Linked DNA regions of Mytilus edulis. Each later gene encodes a partner of the first gene's protein in a complex. Links are inferred from orthologs where the notes say so. Each region holds a gene or a part of one and is shown in the gene's direction. Other genes may lie near its edges.

Region 1 (7,025 bases):
TTTAAAATGTACATGCCATATGACAAGGATGATATTCCTTCCTACAAGTTTTCAGGTGGCATTCTACATCAATGCAATATTTTATCAAAATCTATTCTGCGGTTTAAGAGGAATTGTGTTGACGAGAGAACATTGCCATATTTTGCAATATTACAGTAAGTTGGTTTGATTATCTCCCCTCAATATTTAGAATAAGATTTAACTCTTTAACCCCCAATCCCGCCTGTAGGCGTGATGGCGACAACCATTCTTTGATGGCCCGTATGACCCTCCATACCTTTTTTAAACTGCCCAACCTGAACTGTCATTAGAGCAGGGACTTCAACCAAGCAGTTCATGGTCCATAAACTCTTCTCGGACGTCTGATTGTGAAAATATGGCACTTTGAAAGCCCTTTAAGAGTTCAAAATCGGAAAAACGTGAAAAGTAGCCAAAATCAGGTGGGGGTGGGCATCTTTTGATGGCCACTACGTAACTGGTAGTCATTGTAGGTATAAACTATTATCGTAAATTCATGCATAGGTGGTATAGGAACACAAAGAGGTATCATATGGCCAATAGGAAACTAGTCTGTAAAATCTAGGTCACCGTTTTGTCAAAAATCCGTAAAAACAGACATTTAGGCAGACCTGACTTAAGAATAATAATTCGCCAGCAAGACACTTAAGTCCCATAAACTCCCAGTTAGCATGATTTGACTTCTGTATCTATGGGGTAAGATTTGAATGACAAAGAAACACAGTCTGGTCAATGTTCACCTCTCAAGGTCGTTTTAAAATCGGAAAATAGACGGGAAATGACAATTTTTCAGTGGGGGTGGGTTCAAACCGATTCATTTTTCTTCATTGAAAACCAATTGCCATGGATTTCGTGAGTACAAATTTATCCACAGTAACTTTGTTTTAAGAGGTACAAAATTAAATACATACTTGGCTTATACCTTTATTAACAGTCACATGCTTAAAACAAGCATTCTACAACAAAGGAAATGTTCTTTACCAAATTCTGTAACAAAGTACATATGAAGATTGTGTTCATAATTTTCCCAATTATTTCTGATGAAACTTTACATTTCACATGATGAATTGTCAAAATAATTTTGTTGCTTTATATTCAATTATCAAGTCATAGAAAATGTATGACACAAAGTTATTATCACAAGATTGTTCAAAATGGCTTCTGTCACACCTCGTCTTCATTCAGCAACATGTTGGGTATTCCTCTATTAACAGGGAATTTCCTTCCTGTCTCAGGACAAATCAGATCACCTTCTACAATTTCTACCTGCCAACAAAAATGTGGATGTAATTATTTAAAATATAAGATTTGGTATTATCTCCATAAAACTATATGTGTTCATGGCTGAAACTGTATTCCTAATGGTTTTGTTCACTTGATCTTAATGTCCTCTAAAAAATCTTTAAATTTTCTTATTCTTGTACATTTGGGAAATTTTCAGTAGAACCATAACTAATTATGCCATCATATTACCTGCTTCATCAAGTCTTTTTTAAGTATATTGTCATGGTGATGTCCCGTGCTCCTTTAGATTACAGACATTGCCAGCTTGATAATGAGAATGTTGGAAGCCACAATAGGATAAAAGTTGTAATATCAATATAAACAAAATATTATCTTAAATCAACAAGGAGTATAAACAGATTATCAGTTCTACTTTCCGAAAAGGGAGATAACAACTTAAAATTATAATTCTGGAGTAAAATTCATTATTCCAGAAATTGGCTTTACTTTTAAATGGTTGCTAACTATGATTATACATCTTAACTAGTTTGTAAATTTATCTTCTTGTTATCATATATACCTCCATAAGAATTCTGTGTGCCTTTTTTAAAAAATCTTCATCAGATTCATAACTTTCAGCAACTTCTGTTGGTAAACCTTCATTATGACCAACCTTAAATGTAAAAATAAACAAAACATAAACCTTAATGTACCTAGCCAACCTTAGTGTACCTAGCTAATGCTAGCTTATCCTTGTATTATATTTTGATTATTGTGGATAAAATCCCTGCAGACATTGATCAACTTTATTGCAAGAAGCCTATTTAAAAACTCAATACAGGAAATCTAAGCACTGAGGGGTTGATTTTCTTTCAATTTTTATTTATAAACATGATAAAGAACCTCATTTTTTTACATAAATAAGGCCGTTAGTTTTCTCGTTTGAATTGTTTTACATTGTCTTATCGGGGCCTTTTATAGCTGACTATGTGGTATGGGCTTTGCTCATTGGTGAAGGCCGTACGGTGACCTAGTATAGTTGTTAATGTCTGTGTCATTTTGGTCTTTGTGGATAGTTGTCTCGTTGGCAATCATACCACATCTTCTTTTTTATAAACTACCTATTGTACAATGTATATTTATTTTTAGCATTTATTCTCAAAATTAAAATGCTGGAGTTTAATTATCTAGTTAAACTATGCATGAACAAGTTATTAATTGATTATTCAGAGAGTAAAAAATCTTAAAATTAAAAAAGATTTCTTTCAGATATTCTTAGAATTATGAGTTGTGTCCCTTTGTATTTTCTAACTATATTGCGTATATCCTTACTGACTGAGCTGCCTGACACAAAGCTGGCCAATCCACTTTAGGGATCATTCTGGCTGTGAACTCTGGATTAAAGTCAACCTCTTTCACCTCCACTTTAGTTGCCTATAAAAAAATAATCAACAAAAATATGTGTTACCCTTATTTCAATTAAGTTGTATTTGTACAAGTATATTCAAGGTGTCTAAACTTATATATAGCTGTGGTGTGTGCTGAGTAAATCAATGGTAAATAAAACACTGTGTGAATAGAAAAATATATGCTTTACTTTTCTTTTGCCTTGGCAGGAGGATGACTCTCAAAATGAAACAAAGTTGAAATGAAGAGCTGCTTGCCAATCTGGTAAGTAATAAAAAAAGGTTTCACACATTTACACACTATGTATGAGAGGAGGAATACCGGTACTCTTTACCATCGGAGTCAAATTTATGGCTTTCATAAGAATCAAATTGGTTAAAATGTTAATGAGATCAAGGACATATACATTTTGTATATAGTATAGTTACATGTATATGTCCTATTTTTCAGAGGTTTCAAATAATTATCCATAACCTTTACTTTTTGGAGAGAAAAAAAATCAGGATTCGTCAAAATCGGTCGATTATTATATCATCATAAAGAAAATACACATTTTATTGTCATGCACCAAAAATTACTATGGCCTTTAAGAGCCGTTTTTGGCTACCATTAACGTCAAATTGGTTAAAATTTTACCGTGATTCCTCAAAATATCCTTGCCGAGATTTGTCAGACATGTCAGAGGTCTCAAAAAATTATCATTACCGTCATTTTTAGAAAAAAATTAACGTGATTCGTCAAAATCAGTTGATGTTTTATTGTCAGAGTACATTTTATCGTCATACAACAAAAATTACCGTTAACATCATTAGGCAACGATTTTTACTGTTATTCATCATAAAGGTACCCCCATTTAATACAACCCTCCTTTACATCGTTTGGTAATAATTTTATTTTTATTCATGATGAAAGTACCCCCTGTATAGCTGCCTAATTATAGTCATTATACAATTTAGGACAACAGGATAAAAGGGGTTAGCAAGTTATAAACGGGGAGGTTTAGAAGGCTCGTTTGTCAATTTCTACATTGTAAAATACAGCTATGCAACAACATTAAGTTTCACCTGAATTGTTAGTGGGTATCCCTTCTTTACACCTTTTATTATACTAGAAGTAAGCATGTTGTGAGTAAGGAGCTTCATCTTTCTCTTTCGCTTTATTTACGTCGATTACTAAACAATGCAAAATTTCGTACAAAACGAAAATAAAATTTGTTTCATTAAATCTGTTTTTAATTTCATTTATTTTTTTCAGTGCTAATTACAATGCATTGAAATTATATTTCTATTTTTCAGATCCAAAATTATTTTTATTCACATCAATTTTGTTTCTTTTTTCACTTCGTTTTATCTAGTAGATAATTAAATAATCTTTTTTTTTATTAACCAAGATGTCTGCGCCCATGAAACATGTGAGTTTATTTTTCTAAATTTTCAAATCTAAATTAAACTGCACGACATTAAACACATTTGAAATTGTAGGTAGAAGTGTTCAATTTATGTTAGAATTTTCATATTGTTGCTCAATTGATACATGCACATTATTGGCATTAGCGTACAAAATATGCATGAACTTTATTTTTTGAATACTGTATATACATGTATGTATGTATGTATGTACTGGTAAATGCCTCCGATATCCGAAGAACCCCTCGAAAGCTGCGAGCGTACAGTGGCATCCATGTACACTCCCTACTCGAATGGAGATGTGTCACTAACGTATGTTTATACGACAATTATTTTTACAAGGACAATTAATCCCCACCCAACACAAAGGGAGTGCTAGGACATCGGGAATTCTGTTATTATGGTTGAGGAAGCCGAGAACTCGAAGTATCAGAAGATTGATCTCCAGGTCAAAGTAGGGGCAACTTTGACAAACGGAGGCCCCCAAAGTACTCATTCTAGTTTAAACTTCGGTCTGGGTACCATAGATATGGCACAAAATGTGCACCTGAATATAGGTATCTTGTTTTGTTACCCCCATTGAAGCAATGGTTACATTGGTTACATTGGTTACACACATGGACCTTTAGTAAATGATATGCAATGGTGGCTTAATCTGTTGCAAACTGTACATTAATGGCTGTCCCTGGGGAATCCAGTAAAAATTTGTAACCAGCCTGTGAAAGTCTGGTTACAATGGTTACATGCATGGGAAATCAGGTTACACTGGTTACATACATGCAGAATTTGGTTACAGTGAAACATGCATAGAGAAATCAGTTACAATGGTTACACACATGGGAAAGTTGGGTTACAATGGTTACATGCATGGAGAATCAGGTTACAATGGTTACATGCATGGAGAATCAGGTTACAATGGTTACATGCATGGGAAAGACGGGTTACAATGGTAACATACATGGGAAAGTCGGGTTACAATGGTTACATGCATGGAGAATCTGGTTACAATGGTTACACACATGGGAAAGTAGGGTTACAATGGTTACATACATGGGAAAATCAGGTTACAATGGTTACATACATGGGGGAATCAGGTTACAATGGTTACATGCATGGGGAATCAGGTTACAATAGTTACATACATGGGAAAATCAGGTTACAATGGTTACATGCATGGAGAATTAGGTTACAATGGTTACATACATGCGGAATCTGGTTACAATGGTTACATGCATGAGGAATCAGGTTACAATGGTTACACGCATGGGGAATCTGGTTACAATGGTTACACGCATGGAGAATTAGGTTACAATGGTTACATGCATGGAGAATTAGGTTACAATGGTTACACGCATGGAGAATTAGGTTACAATGGTTACACACATGGGGAATCTGTTTACAATGGTTACATGCATGGGGAATCAGGTTACAATGGTTACACGCATGGGGAATCTGGTTACAATGGTTACACGCATGGAGAATTAGGTTACAATGGTTACACGCATGGAGAATTAGGTTACAATGGTTACACGCATGGAGAATTAGGTTACAATGGTTACATACATGGGGAATCTGGTTACAATGGTTACATGCATGGGGAATCAGGTTACAATGGTTACACGCATGGGGAATCTGGTTACAATGGTTACACGCATGGAGAATTAGGTTACAATGGTTACACGCATGGAGAAATAGGTTACAATGGTTACATGCATGGGGGAATCAGGTTACACTGGTTACACGCATGGAGAATTGGGTTACAATGGTTACATACATGGGGAATCAGGTTACAATGGTTACATACATGGGGAATCAGGTTACAATGGTTACATGCATGGGGAATCTGGTTACAATGGTTACATACATGGGGATTCAGGTTACAATGGTTACATACATGGGGGAATCAGGTTACACTGGTTACACGCATGGAGAATTGGGTTACAATGGTTACATACATGGGGAATCAGGTTACAATGGTTACATACATGGGGAATCTGGTTACAATGGTTACATGCATGGGGAATCTGGTTACAATGGTTACACGCATGGAGAATCAGGTTACAATGGTTACATACATGGAGAATCAGGTTACAATGGTTACATACATGGGGAATCAGGTTACAATGGTTACATACATGGGGAATCAGGTTACAATGGTTACATGCATGGGGAATCTGGTTACAATGGTTACACGCATGGAGAATCAGGTTACAATGGTTACATACATGGAGAATCAGGTTACAATGGTTACATACATGGGGAATCAGGTTACAATGGTTACACGCATGGGGAATCTGGTTACAATGGTTACACGCATGGAGAATTAGGTTACAATGGTTACACGCATGGAGAATTAGGTTACAATGGTTACACGCATGGAGAATTAGGTTACAATGGTTACACACATGGGGAATCTGGTTACAATGGTTACATGCATGGGGAATCAGGTTACAATGGTTACACGCATGGGGAATCTGGTTACAATGGTTACACGCATGGAGAATTGGGTTACAATGGTTACATACATGGGGAATCAGGTTACAATGGTTACATACATGGGGAATCAGGTTACAATGGTTACATGCATGGGGAATCTGGTTACAATGGTTACACGCATGGAGAATCAGGTTACAATGGTTACATACATGGAGAATCAGGTTACAATGGTTACATACATGGGGAATCAGGTTACAATGGTTACATACATGGGGAATCAGGTTACAATGGTTACATGCATGGGAAAATCAGGTTTCAATGATTACATACATGGGGAATCAGGTTACAATGGTTACATGCATGGGGAATCTGGTTACAATGGTTACACGCATGGAGAATTAGGTTACAATGGTTACACGCATGGAGAATTAGGTTACAATGGTTACATGCATGGGGGAATCAGGTTACAATGGTTACATACATGGGGAATCAGGTTACAATGGTTACAAGCATGGGGAATCTGGTTACAATGGT
Region 2 (7,932 bases), about 94 Mb from region 1:
AGGTATTCTGTAGAACGCCCTATAGTATATACTTGAAAAATAAACAACATGGGATCCTGTAGAACGTCTTATAGTAGATATATAATGTTGAGAAAACAGGGGATCCTGTAGACCGCCTATGGGATCCTGTATAACGCCCTATAGTATACACTTGAAAAACAAACAACAGGGGATCCTATAGAACGTCCTATAGTAGATATATAATGTTGAGAAAACAGGGGATCCTGCAGACCGCCCAGGGGATACTGTAGAACGCCCTATAGTATAAACATGAACAACAAACAACAGGGGACCCTATAGAACGTCTTATAGTAGATAAATAATGTTGAGAAAAGAGAAGACCCTGTAGACCAACCAAGGGATCCTATAGAAAGCCTTATAGTATATACATGATAAACAAACAACAGGGGAACCTATTGAAAGTATTATCTTAAATGCATAATTTTTATAAACAGGGTATCCTGTAGATCGCTCAGGTATTCTGGAGAACGCCCTATAGTATAAATATGAACAACAAACAACATGGGGCCCTATAGAACGTCCTATAGTAGATATATAATGTTGTGAAAACAGGGGATCCTGTAGACAGCCTAGGGGATCCTGTAGAACGCCCTATAGTATACACTTGAAAAACAAACAACAGGGGATCCTATAGAACGTCCTATAGTAGATATATAATGTTGAGAAAACAGGGGATCCTGCTGACCGCCCAGGGGATACTGTAGAACGCCCTATAGTATAAACATGAACAACAAACAACATGGGGCCCTATAGAACGTCCTATAGTAGATATATAAAGTTGAGAAAACAAGGGATCCTGTAGACCGCCTAGGGGATCCTGTAGAACGCCCTATAGTATACACTTGAAAAACAAACAACAGGGGATCCTATAGAACGTCCTATAGTAGATATATAATGTTGAGAAAACAGGGGATCCTGCAGACCGCCCAGGGGATACTGTAGAACGCCCTATAGTATAAACATGAACAACAAACAACAGGGGACCCTATAGAACGTCTTATAGTAGATAAATAATGTTGAGAAAAGAGAAGACCCTGTAGACCAACCAAGGGATCCTATAGAAAGCCTTATAGTATATACATGATAAACAAACAACAGGGGAACCTATTGAAAGTATTATCTTAAATGCATAATTTTTATAAACAGGGTATCCTGTAGATCGCTCAGGTATTCTGGAGAACGCCCTATAGTATAAATATGAACAACAAACAACATGGGGCCCTATAGAACGTCCTATAGTAGATATATAATGTTGTGAAAACAGGGGATCCTGTAGACAGCCTAGGGGATCCTGTAGAACGCCCTATAGTATACACTTGAAAAACAAACAACAGGGGATCCTATAGAACGTCCTATAGTAGATATATAATGTTGAGAAAACAGGGGATCCTGCTGACCGCCCAGGGGATACTGTAGAACGCCCTATAGTATAAACATGAACAACAAACAACATGGGGCCCTATAGAACGTCCTATAGTAGATATATAAAGTTGAGAAAACAAGGGATCCTGTAGACCGCCTAGGGGATCCTGTAGAACGCCCTATAGTATACACTTGAAAAACAAACAACAGGGGATCCTATAGAACGTCCTATAGTAGATATATAATGTTGAAAAAACAGGGGATCCTGCTGACCGCCCAGGGGATACTGTAGAACGCCCTATAGTATAAACATGAACAACAAACAACAGGGGACCCTATAGAACGTCTTATAGTAGATAAATAATTTTGAGAAAAGAGAAGACCCTGTAGACCAACCAAGGGATCCTATAGAAAGCCTTATAGTATATACATGATAAACAAACAACAGGGGAACCTATTGAAAGTATTATCTTAAATGCATAATTTTTATAAACAGGGTATCCTGTAGATCGCTCAGATATTCTGTAGAACGCCCTATAGTATACACTTGAAAAACAAACAACAGGGGATACTGTAGAACGTTCTCTTAGCCTAGTAGATACATCAAAAACAAACAATAGGGTATGCTATAGAACGTTCTATAGTTTATATATAATTTTGAGAAAACAAAAGGGGAACCTATAAAACGTCTTATAGTATATATATAATGTTGAGAAAACAGGGGATCCTGTAGACCGCCTAGGGGATCCTGTAGAACGCCCTATAGTATACACTTGAAAAACAAACAACAGGGGATCCTGTAGAACGTCTTATAGTAGATATATAATGTTGAGAAAACAGGGGATCCTGTAAACCGCCTATGGGATCCTGTAGAACGCCCTATAGTATACACTTGAAAAACAAACAACAGGGGATACTGTAGAAAGTTCTCTTAGCCTAGTAGATACATCAAAAACAAACAATAGGGTATGCTATAGAACGTTCTATAGTTTATATATAATTTTGAGAAAACAGGGGATCCCACAGACCAACCAAGGGATCCAGTAGAGAGTCATCTAGTATAAACATGATAAACAAACAACAGGGGATTATATAGAACGTTCTCTTAGCCTAGTAGATACATCAGAAACAAACAATAGGGTATCCTAAAGAACGTTCTATAGTTAATATATTATGTTCAGACAACAGGGGATATGGAGAACACGCCCTTTAGTATATTCATGACAAACAAACAATATGGGATCCTATATATATTTTTTTTCAAAAATTACAGGGCCCATAAAGGGCATAGAATCAGATACAATTGATTTACATAATTGGTAACAACAACAATAATAGAGGCATATACATATATATTTGGAATATAAGCAATGGTCAGAATCAAGCCAAAAACCACATATATATTGTGAATAAAAGAATAATAAAATTACATTATATATATGTATTTATTCTCAAATTGTTTACTTGACTTAGTGTCAGTGTTCATATCTAATCTCCTTAATTAAAAAAAGTCACCAATATAACAGCCCAGTTTTTCCATAAGAGTGACATTTTCTTGGGTCAAGAGCCATAAAATTTAGAAGATTTATTTAAATTTATAAAATTATAACAATTGTTAGAAATGTCTTGGAAAAAATCGTCCCTTTGAATATCATAAAGAGGGCATTCTAATAAAAAATGAAGCTCATCTTCAACTTTACCGAGTGAGCAATTAGAACAAAGACGCTCAGATCTTTCTACATGTTTTTTTGAATTTCTGTTTGTCTCAATTTTTAAAGAGTGAGCGCTTATTCTTAATTTACAAATTGACTGTCTTTTTTTTAAGTCCTGTAATTCTAAATACTTTTCTTTTTAAATCATTTTTTTTTTCCATTTTTCGGAGTTAATTGTTTGATGCTTCAGTTTATTCCAAAATGTGAAATTACTTTTACATAGTTGATTTTTAAGATACTGACATAAAGAACCAATTGATTGGTCAAAATTTGGTATTTCAATCTCTTTGAATATAATCTATACTACAATACCATGTATTTACATTAGAACTTTGTAACTGTATGTTTACAACATATAAATGCATCAAATAATCATCCTTCTTTCAAACGTTCCAGTCTATGACAATATTTTAACATTGATAAAATTATAGTAAAATACATAGGAAATCTACCAATCTCTGACATTACAGCTATATTACTTGACTTTCTATTTACACCAGGAATATATTTCATAAATTTGGTATGAGCTTTTTCGGAAGAATCCTGACCAAAAACTTGTTCCTATAGAACGTTCTATACTATATATAGTAGATATATATATATAATATTCAGACAACAAGGGATCCTGTAGACCCCCCCCCCCCCCCCAGCTGTAGACTGCCCAGGGGGTCCTGTAGAACGTCATTTAGTGTATACATGATAAACAAACAATATAAGGGATCCTATAGAACGTTTTGTAGTAGATATATAAGGTTCAGACAACAGGGGATCATGTAGAACGACCAGGGGATCCTGTAGAACGCCCTAACAGTAGCTTTATTGTAAACAAGTAACAATGGTTCCTATAGAACGTCCAGCTATAGTAGAATGGTCAGACAACAGGGGGTCACATTACAGATTCGTTTCTTTAAACGCAGACCAGTTTAAACACCCTCTCACACTCCTGTAAAGCCTTAGTACGTGTAACAATATATGTTTAACATGTGTAAGCTACATCTTTTTTTCAATTTGCCTACATAAAAATACTCTTTTAGACGGATAATAAAAATATTATTAACTCCATAGTATATCCAAAGCCGTGGGACCACGTGCATGTGACATTTGCAGGTCTTTACAACATAATTAAGGCACTAAGTCCTACTGTTTATCATATCTATATGAAATGTTTCATGTGTATCTTAAAAAGGAATCTGTATATATTTGTACTATGATATATGCTACTGTAATGCGGTACATTTTTCTTTTTTTCATGTGATAAAATAATAAATAAAGCAAATTCACCGTGTTACATGAAAGTTAATGATTTTGAATCGGTTTTTTTTAATAGCTGTACATGTTGAGAATATTCTATTTTTAGAATAAGTATTTTCAGAATCGTTTATAAATAGCCTATAAATAGAATATGCATAATTCATGATTCGTGACGTAGGGCGGTCTACGGGATCCCTTCTTCCGCTTACCATATACACGTGTGATATAAAAACAAAACAAGCTGGGTAACTAAGTTAATATATATATGTTCCTGAAAAAAGTGACGGATTGTGAGGAAAAGGGGGAGGGCCAATAAAAATGTCCTGTGCCCAAGTATCTATGATTCTCTTCGGGCCACCACAAAAAAAAACAATAGTGCCGAGAGTGGCGTAAAAGACAATAAATTAATCAATAATGCGTGTTCATGATATTCTCCTTGGTAACTGACGAACTGACGAATATTTTTAAAATACGGAATTCCAAACTACGTCCTACCCTGTAATACTATTATTATTTTTTTAATTTAGTCATCAAAACGTTTAATAAGACAGAAATATGTTCTATACATTCAAACCTTATATTTACGTAGACAACAACAACAAATGCACGTGGGAAGAAAATCAAAGAACTTTTGTTCAAAATGACAGAGACTGGGGATCGAATACAACCAAGTTTCAAAAATTTAACACATAAAGATTATGGCAGACCTAATGATAAGCAACATATGGTAAACCTTATAAGTTATATATTTGTTTATATCCGATCTGTAGACCCCCCTTTTTTCCCCTACTGTCGTTCTGACACTAGTCACAGAAACAACCGTTTCATACGTCAATTATGTCAATTGATGTTTCAAAATAACAAATGGATAACAAATGTTGAGTTAACACCTACATATTTTCACTAGAATCTGATAAACCTGTGCAATTTTTTAAGCATAAGACAAATTTATAGCTAGTTTCCACCAGTGGCAGTACATAATTTTTTTTTATAATATTGTCTATTGTCTATAATATGAGGCAGGCATTACCTGTGAATGGGGACGAAGTTGTTAAAAAAAAAGAAACGGAAATACTGTAACGTTTCCGATTTTGGTTCTGTTGTTAGGTATTTTACTTGTGACGTTATTTAAGTTATGACGTCTTATTACATTGGTTGTAATGAATTACATTGATTCCCCAGTTAGATAAAAACCGATAATTTCACATGTGAAATAAACGGGGTTATTTCACTCTCTGATGTCATACAACAATAGGCGTTGTCAAGACGTCGATAACGTCGGATCAAAACAAATTGTCAATGCGTAGGAAAAAGATATAGTTCCTTACCAAGGATCCGGAAATTTTTTCACCTAATTTCGGTCATTTTCATACAACTTAAAAGTTGATGCCCCTTTTCAAAAAATGATTGTCAAAATCACATTACTGCATGAGACTCATTATGAGTATGCTCATACTCGATCGTCATGTTCGTAGCATCAACAAACTTGTTTCACTGTTGCATCGCATTTACTTCATGATTTGTCCTACCATTTTCCAAAAATCGTTTAAGAGCAATTAAGGGAAGGCAACAGTTTATAAATAAAATGATTTTAATGACTCAAAACGATAATATTCTCAGTTATTGCTTACGTTTCCTTTGATTCTGAAGTCAAAATTCAAACCGGATGTACTGCGACAATACTAAAACGAACAATTCCGGACTCATTTCCGGGATTAGTTTTGTTTATCCAAATCACAGGAAATCATCGGCTTTTTAATATTTTACCTTTAATAGTGTAAGAATATTAATTAAAATAGTTGCACTAGCTTTATTTAGGATGAAATTATTTTATATTTACAATTAATTGTCTAAATCTGTGGAAGAGAATTTCAAACATGCGTATTACATAGTAAACAAAGCACGTGTGTTAGAAGTAAAAAAAATATTTTTTTCTATGAAATTAAACCAAGTTTTAATTTAATTTTAAATCATAATTGACAATTGTCTGACCTGTTGAGTAATTAAATAATGAAGCCAGTTGGTATGGAATTTTTATTTCTTTATAATAATAGTTTGGAGCTTGTGATTAATTGCCAGGTGTGAATTAAAAACACAGGTAAAGAGATTAGCAATCATTAGCCAATAGCTCCCCGAGGCATTAATATAGTTATTAGGAGGGCCCTCAGGATTATAACACTTTAATGAAGTGGCAGTTTAATTACAGGAAGTCGATAACAAAACAAAAATATGTTCAAAATGGCGATTTTGAAAGCTGATCTCAACGAAATGACCGAAATTATTACGGTTGAAAAATAAAATTTGACCTAAATCCCAATTAAAAGTTTAGGACATTATAGTTTCAGTTTAGGACATGACTGGCAAATATGACCGTTTCCGGACCCTTGTTCCTTACATTTTCCACATTAATTTCATAAAAAAAAAACATTTGCCAATGTAATAAAAAGAATAACTAATCGCCGTATTTGCCGTAATCACTCGTTTAATCCATGCGTCGTTCGGTCACGCGTTGTCTTATTTTTGATATTCAAATACGGCAATTAGTTCTACTATAAATGTTCAATGTAAACAAAGAAACACAATGCATCAGGTAACGTTAATTCATATCAAAGACAAAGAATTATTAAAAATGAAATATTGGCATTGTGTTCCTTGAGTTCCTATATTTTACTAGACTACTCAAAGTCTCACGACAACAAGACCGGAAGAAGGAAGTAGATTTCTGCGTTCTGCGCAAATGCGGGAATTAAAGAAAGCGACAAAAATATTTGAACGAATTTTCCCAAAATTAAAAAAAAAAAATAATAAATTATTGATTTTTCTACTTTAATAGGGGACTTCTTCCCCATATAAAAGTTTATATACAGGTTCGTCATTACAAATGGAAAAAGATGGTTGTAATTATACCTCAAAAACTAACCTGTGTAGTTGAAAAAGTTTGAAGGCCTTATCCAATATCCACCAGATACATTTGTACATTGTACTAGTTCAAATAATTATGACCTCTTGCAAGGTTATTTAATTTTTTTTCTGGGACGCCTTCCTAAGTAGGAAAATTATAATAGCCTTGCAAGACATCAGATATATTTGGACTAACATTGTAAATATACTATAAAAGTTAAATGCATTTTGTGTTTCAGAAAGATAAAATCTTTAAAAATGTTAAAAACAGAACAAAAATGCCCATCTAATTAAAAAATTTTTTTTTATCTTTCTGAAACACAAAAGGCATATTACATGTACGTTATATATTTAGTGAATGCCAGGCCTTAAACCTTTTCATTTCTTTATGAAGCAACACACCAATTCTTCTGGAAGAAGTCTTCTTCTTCAAGAATAAGAACAATTTTGCAATTGACATGCTTGATAATCCATCCAACATGATCATACTTTGATATCCTAATACCATTCCAGTTTGTATACCCATAGTTTATGTGCAATGGCCTTATCATTATAAATTGTTAACACAGTTATATTATCACAAGCTGTTAGACAGAACTTGCCCTAAATACCACTGCCTGTACAAATGTATGCTTAAATAGTGATTATTGTTGTTTTTCAGCCTCTTCAAGAGCTAACCAGACCC
Region 3 (7,587 bases), on another chromosome or scaffold:
GAAATTTCGGCCAACATGTGGCATTTGAATAACATCTTTTTTTCTAGCTTGCTATTAATCCTACAGTTGTTTAGTGACTGCTATTTTAATGTTTTATATTGATAAAACTGTGTCGAAACATATGAAATTGTGCTTGCTTTCTTTATAATTCAATAATAACGTATATATATTGACAGTGATTTATATGATTAACCTAGACCAATAGCAACCAATTTTCTTACACGCAAGGATAAGGCATGCTAAGAACTATAAAAAGGGGATTTTGGACTGGCAAAACAAATTTGAACTCATCTTTACAGAAACTTAATAGGTTATGTATATTGTACATTGTATCCATTTATAGCAGGGATCTCCATGGATGAAAATTGAACGATGGAGGAACTTTCACCATCATAAACCGTATCTAAGCCGTACAGTGTAGCGCGATCGAAAGTATTTCATCCCTCCACATAAGGATAGGTGAACATGCTAATTCATTACTTATTTAAATTATGTTTATTTGAATTTTCATTATAAATACTATATAGAAGAATATATATTTTCAATAATTGCCGTTTGTAACCCTTCAAAGGCCAAGCCCTCGTGCCCCTCCCTTTCCCTTAGTCGAGAATGACCAATAGCTATCACAAAGGTCCCCATGTAGTTTCCTTGCTATTTTTGGTAATTGTTATGGGGGTTAAAAATCATGTGGAGCTTATTTTTCACGGACACTGTCAAATTCAGAAGTCATGAACCAATTACCGGTATGGCTGGTTTGCAGCAACGACAAAACAAGTCGTACGGGTTATTTAAAAAATTAAAAAGATTTGTTAAGCAAACGTTGTCAAATGAAAAGGTTTTTAATGACTTTATCTAGCAAATGATTTAATCGATGCTATGCAACATGCATCTTTCAAGTCTAAATAGAAACCGGAAAAGCGGATGTATCAATTTGATTGTAATACACCTATCCATTCTCCTGCCAATCATCAGTTAATTGACCAATCACATGTGGTCAATTTACCACATGTGTAAACATTTGATAGCAGCACGTGTTGTCGGACATAACCTCGGTCAAGCTTTCTTATCTGAACAGTTAATTTGATAGAATTTTTTTGAAATTTTCGCAATTAAATCATTAATAATATTGTTTTAGGGAAAGGAATCAAAGTAGGAGGGTAGAGGAAGGTCAAGTTGTCAATTTCCAACAAAATAAAAGTTTATTTTAATGAATGAAACTGATTAATAAATCAATAAAAAAGGAATAGGATGGCAGTGCTTACTGATTTTAAAATATTGTTTACATGCTAATAGTATTTTTTTTTAAATGATGAAAAATATATATTTTGAAACACAAGATTTCAATTGGTTTACAAATTGAATTAGAATTCAATTTTGAGATTTTTTTCATTCATTTAATAATTAATTATACTATAAAACATCCAAGTTAGAATGTGCTATTTCTTGAAATTACATTACAAATATCATATTTATGTTTGTACTGTCATTCTTAGAATTTTGTTAAGAGGTAGGGGAAACTTGAATAATAAGAATAAAAATATATATTTCAATAGATGCTTATCATAAGTAAAATAAAGTGTAGTTTTGATACGACTTGGTCTTCTGTGGGAATATTTACTGATTTAACAGGATTATTATCATATATTTTATCAAAAGAAAAAAAAAAGAAGTGAGAAGTTTTCGATATATTTTATTTTATTAATTTGCAATCAAAAAGGTACAATGTGCAAATATTTCAATCTTAAAAGGATAAGAGTACTAGTCTATATGAATTTGAAGCCAAGACGAACTTCAATGACCAACCATACATGTAAGCAATGCAAGTAACTATCTATCTAGCAAAAAATAAATAAATTTTCTTTTGTTCTTTATTTTTTACTTAGTGATAGGAATTTTAATTATCAGTATAAGTTATCTATGGACATAAAAAAAAAATGGTTAAATATTATTCAATAAACAATTATTAGGTACTGGATCAATGATGCTTGTTTTACAAGTTGACCCAATGCTGTGTTTGTCTACATAGTAAACAAACTTATCAACATTCATTAGCCATGCTTAATTAAACCTGGAATTTATCATAATAATTTATCTAATCAATCATATCATATTTTTATCTTGTTGTTACATTTTTGTGAATGAAAGTAATCTAGTATATAAGCTTCAAATTTCAATATTGTATTTGTTTCTTTTAATTTAGTTGAAATGGTCAGAATTTCATAAATCTATCTCCCAACTCTTGAGGAGTAACTATTTTATCATATTTTAACACAAAAGCATAAATATATTGCTCTTCTTTATATTTTTTATAACATTTTCTTTACTTTGTTATTATCCAATGTTCATAATAACCGCCATTTTGTTGATAAGCTTGACCCAAGATGCTGGGTTGCCATGTGTTGCTAAGGGAGGCGGGCTTATCAGTAGATAGTGGAAAGGTGTATTTAAACTACCAAATGAATTCGGAATTACGATACGATATTTCTTTACAGGAAATATTTAAATTTTTAACTTTTTAACTTTTAAAGTAATTCTATATTATTGTTACAATACAGCAGTACTCGAGTTATTTGCGATGAAATAATAATTACTGCTTTACGTCTTATTTTGTACTTCTTAAAAAGGGGGATGCAGATTGCGTAGGTCAAAATAAAAGCATGTGTTCTACTTATTAAACTTTGTAACTGGATTATTAATTTATTTATTTAATCTGAATTATCATAAGCATTTGCAGAAACTTAGTTAAATTATTCGACAGATGAATGGTCTATCTTCAGATAATATTCTCCTGTCTGGTTTGTTGATCTACCTGTACAAGCTCAGGTACAACTGATTAGCGATCTTAATCCGGATATCCCTCAGGCGTTAGAACTGTATTGGATTATACTATAAAAAAAAGCCTGAGGGTTATGCAATTTCATGCATTTGATTATAATTGCTAAAAAAATGGCGTCAGGCTATAAAAACGATCACAGTTTTGAACGATGGCGGAAGACAATTGAACGATGGCGCGAGTCATTTGACGATGGCGCAAGACATTTGAACGATGGCGGGGCGCCATCGTTAAACAGGCCATGGAGATCCATGTATAGTAATACATTTAAACAATGTAATCACATGCCTTTACAATGGTTTAGTTGTAATTTTGTTTGAATATCTGGCAAAGGTAATTTAACTATTGCATAGAATAAATGTCCAGAGACTATAGACTAATTGTATGAAAGATTGAGAACAATCTTTACACCTGTTAAACAAAAAGATTGATAACAAACCTTTGAGACCTCTGATGAATATAAACAATAGCAATATTTAAACAAACTGGATCATGATTAAATGTTAACCAATTTCGACACTTAAGGTAGCCGAAAATTACTATTTGATGTCCGACGGTACACATAGTACAGGGCATTTCTACTAGCTGTCCTATATGAGGGCAGAATGAACTTGAACTGGAACAACTTTGGATGAATCTACTTGGCCCGAATTTACATGAAAGCAGTGTCATAAAAGCTACTGTTGTGTGCAGCAACACTCCAACAAGTCTTCCTGCCTCATATGAATTCTTCCCTTAGAAGGTGTGCTAGATACTTAGTAAGCTGTAAGCGATTGAGATAAGGAAGTACTTTTTTAGCCCAGTCAGTTAACACGCTGCCTGGTAACACAGAGGTCTTGGGTTTCTAGTCCTGGTAGAGACAAGATTTTTTAGTACATGTTTGTATGTAGAATCATGCTCTAATTGGCGCCAAACTAGAAAAAAACATGGTGGTAAGAGGGGAATTCTAGCTTGGGTACATTTATTTTGTGTGAGAGTCATTATGGTATGATGACTCTTGAGGTGGGGGAAGTGTTTCAGGATTATGTGGTAGATACTTAGTTAGCCGTAAGCGGTTGAGCTAAGGAAGTACCAATTAATTTATCTCAGTACTGCACTGCAAAATCCAGTTAAGTTATGAATTTTCTAAATCATACAATGCATTTGAAGTCTATTCATCTAGGGCATGCTTTGCCTTAAAACGTTTCCAGATGCACAGGTTTGTCTGTACTCAGAGTAAATTTTGAGGTGAAAATGCAGCCATTTTAGCCACAGGGTCCACATGGTCCACATGAACCATAACATGCTGCCTGGGAAGAAGGAGGTCTCGTGTTTGAGTCCCGGTGGAGAATAGATGATTTTGTATGTAGAATCAGGATCTCCGGATACATTAGATTAATTGTTGCTTGCTTAACGTCCAGTGGCAAATATTTCATGACAAAGTATTATAAATTAATGATTGCAATCTTCTCTCAGAATTGCCTGCTATCAATTAAAATAATAGTCACTTCCTTTTCTACCTAAAATTTACCTATCTTGATGGATACACTTTGCATTAACACAATCATTGTCTCTTAAAATAACTGACTTCTCCCAATCTGGAAGTAAACATCCTTGTAAAGATAAATACAGAGGGACAGCTTTTCCAAGAAATTTCAAGGATATATGTCGCTGTACATCTTTCATTGTCCGGAGATCACCTGTATCGATTAATAACCATGAAGCATCAAACTCGTTGTTTTCAAAATACACTTTAATTCGAACGTGTGTGGCCATGGGCGCAGCCATCTTGATTTCTAGGGTATAACTCGCCTCCAATGCAGAAGATCATTACATCAACAGCACGATTTTAAAAAGTGTGACAGGTAATTTCAAATAAGTCACGTAAATTCAAACACTCGTCGTTTCAGAAGATATAGTGTTATGCTTTCTTAACGAAATACATTCTAAATCACAAAAATTATGAATTATTATAACAGAAAAAAAACATAATTTGGCATAATTTAAATTTGTTGACATACATACGTACTGATTATTTAAATTATTGTCAGTAATGATGGACTTGCTAAATCCCTTTTAGGATTATAGACAACATATTCTACCAAGATAATGTACAAGGAAAGACGAAAAAGAAAGAATCGTAGACTTATTCTTCAATCTTCAATCTTTGTCGTGATCACAGAGTAATCTCTCTTGTGAATTATCCTCTCTTGTAAAATAATTATCACTAATGTAGTTTCTCCTTTGTACTTAGATATTGTAGGTGGCGCTTTAAAAATAATATGAGGCAGGCATTACCTGTAAATGGGGACGAAGTCTGTATGAATTATTTTTTTGTAACTTAAATATTTGTTAAAAAAAAGAAACGGAAATACCGGAACGTTTCCGATTTTGGTTCTGTTGTTAGGGATTTTAGTTGTGACGTTATTTAAATTATGACGTCATATGCAATGTAAACAAAGAAACGCTATCATCAGGTAACGTTTTTTCATATCAAGGAATTATTAAAAATGAAATTGGTATTGCGCGTTCCTTCCTATTTTATACTAGACTGATAAATATATATTTTACTCAAAGTTTCATACAAACGAGACCGGAAAAAGGAAGTACATTGTACATTTCTGCGCAGGTCCGGGATTTCAAAACACGACAAAAAAAAAATTGAACGATTTTGAGTTCATTAGTATACAATGAAAAATTCGGGAAATTTTCCCGAATTTTTTTTTTTATTGAATTTTCTACTGTTATTGAAAAAAAATGGTTAATTAGATTATCAAAATGGCATGAAAAATTAAAAAATATTAAAAATTAAAAGAAATTTGTATTAAATTATCCACTAAAACGGTTTGTTTCCTTTATATACGCCGCTAATAGTTGATTAATACTTTGTGTATTTGGCAAATTGATTGTTAATAAATTGACTTATTCGATACCAGACAAAATTGACTTTAACCAATGCAAAGCATGATAAATTGAAAGTGATGTATCGGCGGTTTAACTAATTTTTCACGAAAAATAATTTCTGAAGTCAATGGTATTTAGTTAAACAACAAATTAATGTTATTAAAAGATTTAAAAACCTTATAAATTACTCACATTACGCACAGATAGATTTGCTCTTTCTGCTAGCTCTCCATTGTAAATAAAAATTAATGTCCCTCATTAGGGATCTCTAATTACAGGGTCAATTACGGAAATTGGCAAATAGCCTATTGAAATAAGAAATTATGACACTTTCGCAGTCAAGTCAACACATGGTCAAACAAGCAATCACTTTTCCTTTGTAACGCGTCAGACATTATCTCTTCTTCTTATGGTATCCAGTTAGGCTGATTAAAATTAATTGATCGATTTTAATCCCCGCTTGCCCCTCTGAAATCGTCCTTCCCCAATTTTTTATTTTGAAAAATTTACGATTTCCGTTTTTTTTTCATTTCCGTTACCGGTAACTGTCAATAACTTCGTTTCATTCAAAACTTCCTGTTTCAAATATCCGTTTTCATATTTCTTGTTTCGAGTACTTTAAAACGATTAAGTTGACATGTACATATTCTGCTGCTCAACAACTGCTCAATAATGACAAATTATTAGGGATGTCAAAAGATTTGAAATTTAATACTCGGATACTCGGTCATGATACTTGAGTACTCGCAATTACTCGGATGAATCTTAAACGCCTATTGAAAAGTTTAGATTTGAGGTGGAATGCAGTATTTTGTTATTACCTTTTATAAACATAAGACAAATGTACTACAAACATAGCTTGCTTCTCCTTTTTTTTGTGTTTATTAAACAATGAATTACCGACCGCCGTTTCTACAAATAACCTATCATAATTGTTGTTTGTGTAAGTGTTTATGAATCCAGAGACATGTCTCTGATGAACCAAATTCCAATAAAATAAAAAATATTTACATATAAAGTCCTACAAAGAAGACTACATTTGTATCATCTGTTCCTGCGGAGTTTTTTTTTAATACGATATGTCCATTAATTTTTCAACAACAATATTGGACTTTAAATTACTTTTGCTTTTTCGTGTCGCTCAGTCTTACTTTTTCTGTGTTTTTTTTTTTTGCTCTAGATCGTTGGTCTTATTTTCATTTTTTTTGTTTTTAATCATGTATAAACACCGTTAAAAATGTCTCTATTCAGTTGCGTAGGGTTCACCGCAGGTCACTTTGTTCTTGTTAAGAAATATGATCTGGTCAACAGTTTCAGACGAAAGACTGTTTGACTTTCTATTTTTTGTTTCAAGTAGTGCACATGAAAACATTCCCCCGGAAGGAAAGGATGTTGCTGGTACTACTATAACAAATAGTAACCTAAGGATAAACATATTTATGTTGTTAATTGATTTTATTTAGTATTTCGAAGGGGATACTTCAACGGAACTAAAGTGAGTGGAAATGTGAAGAGAAATATCTCAAGATGTATAACAGCAAACGAGTATCCGAGTACTAAAACAGTACACGAGTACTCAGCCTTCCGAGCGAGTACTCGAGTACTCGTTGCCATCCCTACAAATTATATCATATACCGAGAATAGAGATAATTTACAAGAAGGGCATGAAATATTCAGGTTGCGAGTTATATGCTGTGTCGAAGAACGCAAATCGAGGTATGGTACAAATAGGAAATTTCTGTCATTAGAAAACTGTGTTTTTTTTTTTATAATTCATTGACTTGTGTCAGCAAATTTGGGCTGTAAATGATTTCCAAAGCGAAAGAATCGTGAAACACATAGGTATTAACACATAACTGGATTAAAGAAA
Region 4 (6,911 bases), on another chromosome or scaffold:
TATAGTCTCCAAAAGAAAAATGCATCCAATTGTAAATAAAAATATCATTAAAACATAAACACTCCCAGGTAGGGACCAAAATCCCTATAACCAACTAATTTCCTTGACGCCTTCAACAATCATTGCAATTTTTTTTATATCATGTTAAATACAGTAGACAAAATATTATCCAGTTAATTTAAGCAAAGATTTTTGTGTCAATAACAGTGTAGATGTATTAGAATAAGAATATGGATCCTATTGAGTGCTAGGAACCGGATGTTCAGTGGTTGTTGTTTGTTGAAGTGATTCATAATTGTTTCTAGTTTTTTAAATAGATAAGACCATTACTTTAGGTGTGAGCCAAGGCTCCTTGTCGAAGACTGTATCTTGACCTATAATGGTTTACTTTTACAAATTGTGAATTGGATATTAAGAGTTGTCTCACTGGCACTCATACGACAAATTCTTATATCTATAGATTAAAATGCTCGAAGTAAAAGTCTAAGTCCTGAAATCATGCTAATATGTTTGCAAAGAAATTTTGTAAGATACTAATTTTACCAATCATATGATGAAACAAAATAATTTCTGAACTGAAATCTAGTATTTATGATATTTCAGATTTAGGGCCTTTGTCAACAAGACAGCTATCAAACATCACAATAAATCCATAGATGTCATGATACCATAGAATGGTGATATAAAACTAAATATTATCTTGTAGTTATACAAAAATGATCAAACCTGGATGCTACAGCAGCATTCTCTACAAATGCTAGAACAGCATCCAATGCTTTTTCTTGAGCCACAGCATTGGTATCAGTGACAAACTTCTTCATAAGGCCAGCATAGCGCTGGAATTCAGGAGACTTGGGATCAGTCTGTTGGCTAAATATCTTTGTAACTTCTTCATATCCTGCTAGACGTGCTTTCCATGTCTATAATACAAAAACAAATAAGTTAATTTCCTCCTGTAACACTAAAGCTTCCATTTACACTTCCCTTTCAATCCCAATTGGTAGGTAACTCAGGTCCAAGCCAGTTTGAATCCTTCATAAGGTAAAATGATACTAATAGTTTTGGCATTGCAGTCTACACCATTTAGTGTTAACCACTAGATGGATGTCCCAAGACTAATTGAATATCATTTTTAATAGTAAGTATTTGTAAATATTTGTTTATAAACATAAGAAAGTTGTCTGAATATTGGTCATCTGACTTGTAGTTGGAAAAGAATTTGGTGCAGACTGGCATTGCACTAACCTGCTAACATGACCAAGTTATGCTTTTCTAAGATTGCTTTTGATGTTGTTACTCTAACTCTGTTGAATGTGCACTAATTTTTGTTTTAGTTTGGGATAACATAAATTTTATATGTATATATAACATGCATAACCTACATGACCTATATCTTTGTAAAGTTTAATTTTACCTTATGCTGGCACTTTTCTTCAGCAGGAAGTTTCAGCCATTCACTGTCATCTCCCATTATGGATTAATAATACTCCTGGAAAATACAATGTCATGAATGTTTACACATGTTAGAAAAAAAATATTGCTTTGAAGGAATATACTGATATTTACATGTAATTAATATGATTCTATCGTAATTTGTAAATATTAAGATTTCAATGACACAACTCTGTGATTAATAATCAATATGTCAATAAGACTGACATATTCCAGAACATGAAATCAGGGAGGGTACATGTATTTCAATGCTAGGTGCTTTTACAGTTTATTTGTGCTTCATATTGATTTATTAAGTAAAATATTTTTTACAGTTTGTTCTGATGTTGTGATGCAACACCAGGCATGGGCAGGGTTGTGTGCTCACAAACATGTTTAACCTCACCACATTATTTATGTTTATACTGTCTCAAGGTTTGAGTCCTAAATTCAGTGGTTGTTGTTGGTTCATATTTCAAATTATTTGTTTTTCATAAATTGTACAGTATACCATGTACACATTAATATTATTATAATTTAAAGTTTTATTGTTTTTATCATATGTTAAGTAGTAAATACAGTAGTTTTGCATATTTGATAAATAGCCTGCTGTTTAATCCATATCGCGCAACTCTGATGCGCACCCTTTATCGCATACCCTTTATCGCATACCCTTTATCACACCTCTACCCTTTATCACACCCCTACTTTTTTTTTTTTTTTTTTTTTTTATATGAAGCATGTAAAGTCAGTTTTGTTTGTTTTTTTTTGCTTAAGAAAAATTTTCCTCAAAATAGGTCAATTTTTTGAATGACGTCATTGTTTGGTATGTGACGTCACGAACGTCAAGTTTTCATATTGTATTTGACGTCAAGAACGTCAAGTTTTCATATTGTATTTGACGTCACGAACGTCAAGTTTTCATATTTTTTGGCACACTAATTGCAACTATAAAAAATACAAAACACACAAATAAATACAATAATAAACATTTTTTTTTTAAACAACAGCACGCAAATTGTAAGGTAGCCCAGGTGCTTCGGATAAGTAATTGAGCAGTACTTTTGAAAGCCTTTGAAACAAGACAAAAGTAGAACTGAAGGTAACCCAGTGCTATGGATCAGAAAACAGTTCATATAATATAATACTATTCTGTTGAAACATATGATAAAGCGTATAATACATGGCAAAATCCGTATCACATGCCGTATCACCCTCGACCAATATCATCCCTCGGGCCTAAAGGCCCTTGGGCTGATATTGATGTCTCGGGATGATACGACATATGATACAGATTTTGCCATGTATTATTCTCTATGTATCGTTATGTCTAGGCCTTTCATGAATATAAAGTATGAGTTTTTTTTTTTTTCATTACTGTAGACTGTAGGGTTATAAGTTAACTATAATTGCTTTTATCTCTATCATTTAAACCTCAGGAATTTTAATTGCTTAGCTTGAGGCGAAACAAGGGAACAGCGCCTAAGGCTCAAAATGTTAAAACTAAAAAAAACTTCTCTCCTTCAGATTCATTTGAATCCCCCATGTCTAACCCAGCAAAGCAATGAGAATGCACAACGTGCAAGGCGTGAAAGCGAAAAAGTATAATAGCCTTTCAAGATGTCATAATTATTTGTCAGCCATTACTGGACATCACACAGGTTCCTGTAAATTTTTTATATCATAATAAAAATATCTGACGCCACAATGGAAAAGTAATTGTTGTATGACGTCAATTGTTCAAGCAATACAAATTTTCGGTTCAGCTGGGAATAGACCTTATTGCTATTCTCGACTGAACAGAGAATCTGTCTCTCTCAAACTATTTCCATTGTGGCATCAGATATTTTCTATTATAACGTAAAAAATTTACAAGAACTTTTGTGATGTCCAGTAATGGTGGACAAATACACCTTATCGCTATTCCCGGCTGACCCGTCCGCTTGAACTTTTGACGTCAACAACAATCACTTTTCCATTGTGGCGTCAGACATTTTGTTTTATGACGTCAAAATTTTACGGGAACCTGTGTGATTTCCAGCAATGGCGGACAAATAGCGATAAGGTGTATAGCAATAAGGTGTATAGACTATAGGCTATAGACTGTATGATAAGGCGGATAACAAATCAGGTCAACACCTCTCCAGGAGAAAATACAACATATATTGCTATTTGCAAATGTTGTGAGTTTATTTCATTTCATGATCTGACAGTAAACATATATTATGAATCACTGACATCAGATTATGACAGTTGGCAACTTTACAAGTAAGAAAAAAGGGGACCTGCAAAAACAAAAGGGGATATCAAAGCAATTTATCCTAACAGTTTCAAGTGGTGATTTGGTAGGGATCAAATCAAAAGCATACTTACATATATGCAATATAAATATTTAGTTATCTCATATGAGCGCTGGATTTGAATGGTAAATATTTCGGTCAACCGGAAGTTTCGTGGCGCCATCTATAAACTTGGATTAACTTATAATTTTACTTTAATTAGTTCAGAATAGTATTTATACATCAATATTCTTAGGGTTTTTTTTAACTCAAAAAAAATATTCAACATTGACCAATTTTTCACAAAGCCAAATTTTGTCACACACTTTCGCGAACTCTAGAAAAAAAAATGGCAGCTTCCATGGAACATACACGATTGACATTTTCCGAGGCAAAATCACTAATTTCAAAGTGTTCTTTTTCCCATCTTGAAGCAGTTTCATCTAAGCGACATATTGTTTTACCCCCGAAGTTTTTCAACAGTATTTTACAAGGAGTGAGAGAACATCTCAACTCAGAACTGCAGTTAGTTGCAAGCTGGTAAGAACTCGAAGTGGTTTGAATACCTCCCCCCTTTTTTTGAAAATTTTCTGTGGACCACTTTTATTTTTTGCAATGAAATTTTCTACAGTTACAACTTGTTTTTACCTTAAAAATTGAGACTGTAAAAATGGGAAAGAATTTACAGAGTCCAAATTACGAATGTAAACATGGCTGGGACTATACATCTTATTGCTAATCCCAGCTGACCCGGCCGCTTGAACTTTTGAGCATACATCAATCACTTTTCCATTGTTGCGTCAGATATATTGTTTTATGACGTCAAAATTTTACATGAACCTGTGTGATATGCAGTAATGGCGGACAAATAGCGATAAGGTGTATTATAAATTTATTATACCGTACTTAAGGGTCTGCAAACTGAACAATCTGTTGAGATTTCATTGCCCCAATAGCGGATTATTGATTTTTGTTTTGGTTGACAGCGTATTGTGTCATGTAGTAAATTAGCATTCGGTACATGTAAACAATAGATTTCGGCAAACAAGTCAGCATATATATAGAAAAACAGTTAAAATTGGTGGACTTGAAATAAAGAATAATTATTAAACAGGGATAGAACTTAAGACTTTGGCAATTGTAGCCCACAGCTTAAAGTTTGTAGCCCAAATATAGTCTAATTTACAAGAAAAGCAGAAATTTAAGCAGCCCACACTAAATTAGAGGGGCCATTGGCCTGTGGGCCTCTGCTAATTTCATACCCTGTAATAAGCTAATTAGTTTAATGCAAAAACCAGATATTGTTTACGAAAAAATATTAAGAAGTAGTCAATATAGTAATGTTGAAAATAAACATGATAAACCAGATATAGTCGAAATGCAGCACTTTACTTGACCGCTAAGATAACAACGTGTCAAAGGTTGTCAGATCATAAATAATCCTGATGAAAACAATATGTGTGCAATAAAAACAATGTTGACAATTTCAATTCCTAATTAATTCATATAACAAAAGTTACCCTGGTCTCATGAAAATATAGCCACATTGTTTTAAACTTTTGTGAACTTCGTGTTTACACCAAAATTTCAATATGGCTGTGCATCATCGGGCCTACTTTTGTAGTTGTAATTGTGGAACCTAGTCTATTTTCACGAAGTCATATGCTTAATGCCACCTGAAGACCATTACTAAGCAAAATTAACCCTGATTATAATAAAATATTGCACACTTAAAAAGGAGTAGGCAATTTTGTAGGAACAGTAAAATTTATTTAAGCCGTGCATGTGGGTTCCGGTTGTAATGAGAAAGAGATATTTTTCCACTTGTCACTTTAAAACGACAATAAAAATAGGCAAATCCAAACTATAACCTATGAATATGATTTCACAACAAACCCAACTTGGGTATCTCTTTTCAATCAAAAGTTATAAGAAATTTAATTAATCATCTCCTTTTTTCCACATCGTTCCCACGTCATTTTCATCCTGAAAATTTCAATCTTTTTGTTATTTCTTACACTTAAGGCGGATTTAGTGATTAATAACAACTGTTAAAGATCGAGGTAACTTTTATCATTATAGTAATCAAGTTGTTGGCATGACACGGGTTATGTTCTTCTCATATATGTTATGATCGTATGATACTAAACCCCTAACGGGAAGGATTGTGCCTGATGTTCATATGATGAAATCATAATCTTTCAGTCAGTTTAATTGAAGTCTGGAGCTGGCATGTCAGTTAACTGCTAGTAGTCTGTTGTTATTTATGTATTATTGTCATTTTGTTTATTTTCTTTGGTTACATCTTCTGACATCAGACTCGGACTTCTCTTGAACTGAATTTTAATGTGCGTATTGTTATGCGTTTACTTTTCTACATTGGCTAGAGGTATAGAGGGAGGGTTGAGATCTCACAAACATGTTTAACCCTGCCGCATTTTTGCGCCTGTCCCAAGTCAGGAGCCTCTGTCCTTTGTTAGTCTTGTATTATTTTAATTTTAGTTTCTTGTGTACAAGTTGGAAATTAGTATGGCATTCATTATCACTGAACTAGTATATATTTGTTTAGGGGCCAGTTGAAGGACGCCTCCAGGTGCGGGAATTTCTCGCTACATTGAAGACCTGTTGGTGACCTTCAGCTGTTGTTTTTTTCTATGGTCGGGTTGTTGTCTCTTTGGCACATTCCCCATTTCCATTCTCAATTTTATTATATTAAGGATTATCATTTCTAATAACTATAAAATAAAAAAAATAATTTCAGAAATTATAAGATCAAGGCACGCTTTCACTATCAAATCAATATGGCGTATCCATAAATAGCGCAGGTAAAGTCTCGTTCTAACGACTGTGATTTAGATATTCTGATTGGTGTAATGGTTTCCAGTCCTGTTAGTATGATAGTCCCAGAAACATGGTAAATCTTTCTTCGTATTTCCGAACTCAGTCACAACTTTAACTAATTTGAGGCAGGCATTACCTGTGAAAGGGGATGAAGTCTATGATTTTTTTTCAATTCAAACATAATTTTAACATGTTTAACTTTAAAATCTGTTTAAAAAAAAGAAACGGAAATACCTTGACTTTTCTGATTTTTGTTCTGTTGATTTGGATTTTAGTTGTAACATTATTTGACCTCATACTCAATGTAAACAAAGATATGAAATCATCAGGTAACGTTTTTTCATATCAAAGAACTATTAA

Evidence for each region.
Region 2: DNA-directed RNA polymerase I subunit RPA12-like (region 1) and DNA-directed RNA polymerase I subunit RPA2-like share a complex: the UniProt entries of both Homo sapiens proteins name them as parts of the pol I pre-initiation complex. The link is inferred for Mytilus edulis from reciprocal best matches to the Homo sapiens genes POLR1H and POLR1B.
Region 3: DNA-directed RNA polymerase I subunit RPA12-like (region 1) and RNA polymerase I-specific transcription initiation factor RRN3-like share a complex: the UniProt entries of both Homo sapiens proteins name them as parts of the pol I pre-initiation complex. The link is inferred for Mytilus edulis from reciprocal best matches to the Homo sapiens genes POLR1H and RRN3.
Region 4: DNA-directed RNA polymerase I subunit RPA12-like (region 1) and DNA-directed RNA polymerase I subunit RPA43-like share a complex: the UniProt entries of both Homo sapiens proteins name them as parts of the RNA polymerase I (Pol I) complex. The link is inferred for Mytilus edulis from reciprocal best matches to the Homo sapiens genes POLR1H and POLR1F.

The regions. Positions count from the first base shown.
Region 1 is NC_092345.1:1,181,627-1,188,651, forward strand, and holds the start of DNA-directed RNA polymerase I subunit RPA12-like, read left to right. Parts: upstream 1-4,016; 5' UTR 4,017-4,060; intron 4,061-7,025. Other genes in the region: multifunctional methyltransferase subunit TRM112-like protein, read right to left, coding at 1,183-1,284, 1,823-1,915, 2,575-2,676, 3,714-3,791. UniProt on the Homo sapiens protein: Core component of RNA polymerase I (Pol I), a DNA-dependent RNA polymerase which synthesizes ribosomal RNA precursors using the four ribonucleoside triphosphates as substrates. Can mediate Pol I proofreading of the nascent RNA transcript.
Region 2 is NC_092345.1:94,834,081-94,842,012, reverse strand, and holds the start of DNA-directed RNA polymerase I subunit RPA2-like, read left to right. Parts: upstream 1-4,913; 5' UTR 4,914-4,986; coding exon 4,987-5,073; exon of another isoform or gene 5,074-5,500; intron 5,501-6,958; exon of another isoform or gene 6,959-7,908; coding exon 7,909-7,932. UniProt on the Homo sapiens protein: Catalytic core component of RNA polymerase I (Pol I), a DNA-dependent RNA polymerase which synthesizes ribosomal RNA precursors using the four ribonucleoside triphosphates as substrates.
Region 3 is NC_092352.1:27,401,483-27,409,069, forward strand, and holds the start of RNA polymerase I-specific transcription initiation factor RRN3-like, read left to right. Parts: upstream 1-4,600; 5' UTR 4,601-4,677; intron 4,678-7,179; exon of another isoform or gene 7,180-7,433; intron 7,434-7,587. Other genes in the region: coilin-like, read right to left, coding at 4,344-4,600. UniProt on the Homo sapiens protein: Required for efficient transcription initiation by RNA polymerase I (Pol I). Required for the formation of the competent pre-initiation complex (PIC).
Region 4 is NC_092350.1:28,387,229-28,394,139, forward strand, and holds the start of DNA-directed RNA polymerase I subunit RPA43-like, read left to right. Parts: upstream 1-3,892; 5' UTR 3,893-4,059; coding exon 4,060-4,250; intron 4,251-6,911. Other genes in the region: cytoskeleton-associated protein 5-A-like, read right to left, coding at 727-920, 1,415-1,471. UniProt on the Homo sapiens protein: Component of RNA polymerase I (Pol I), a DNA-dependent RNA polymerase which synthesizes ribosomal RNA precursors using the four ribonucleoside triphosphates as substrates.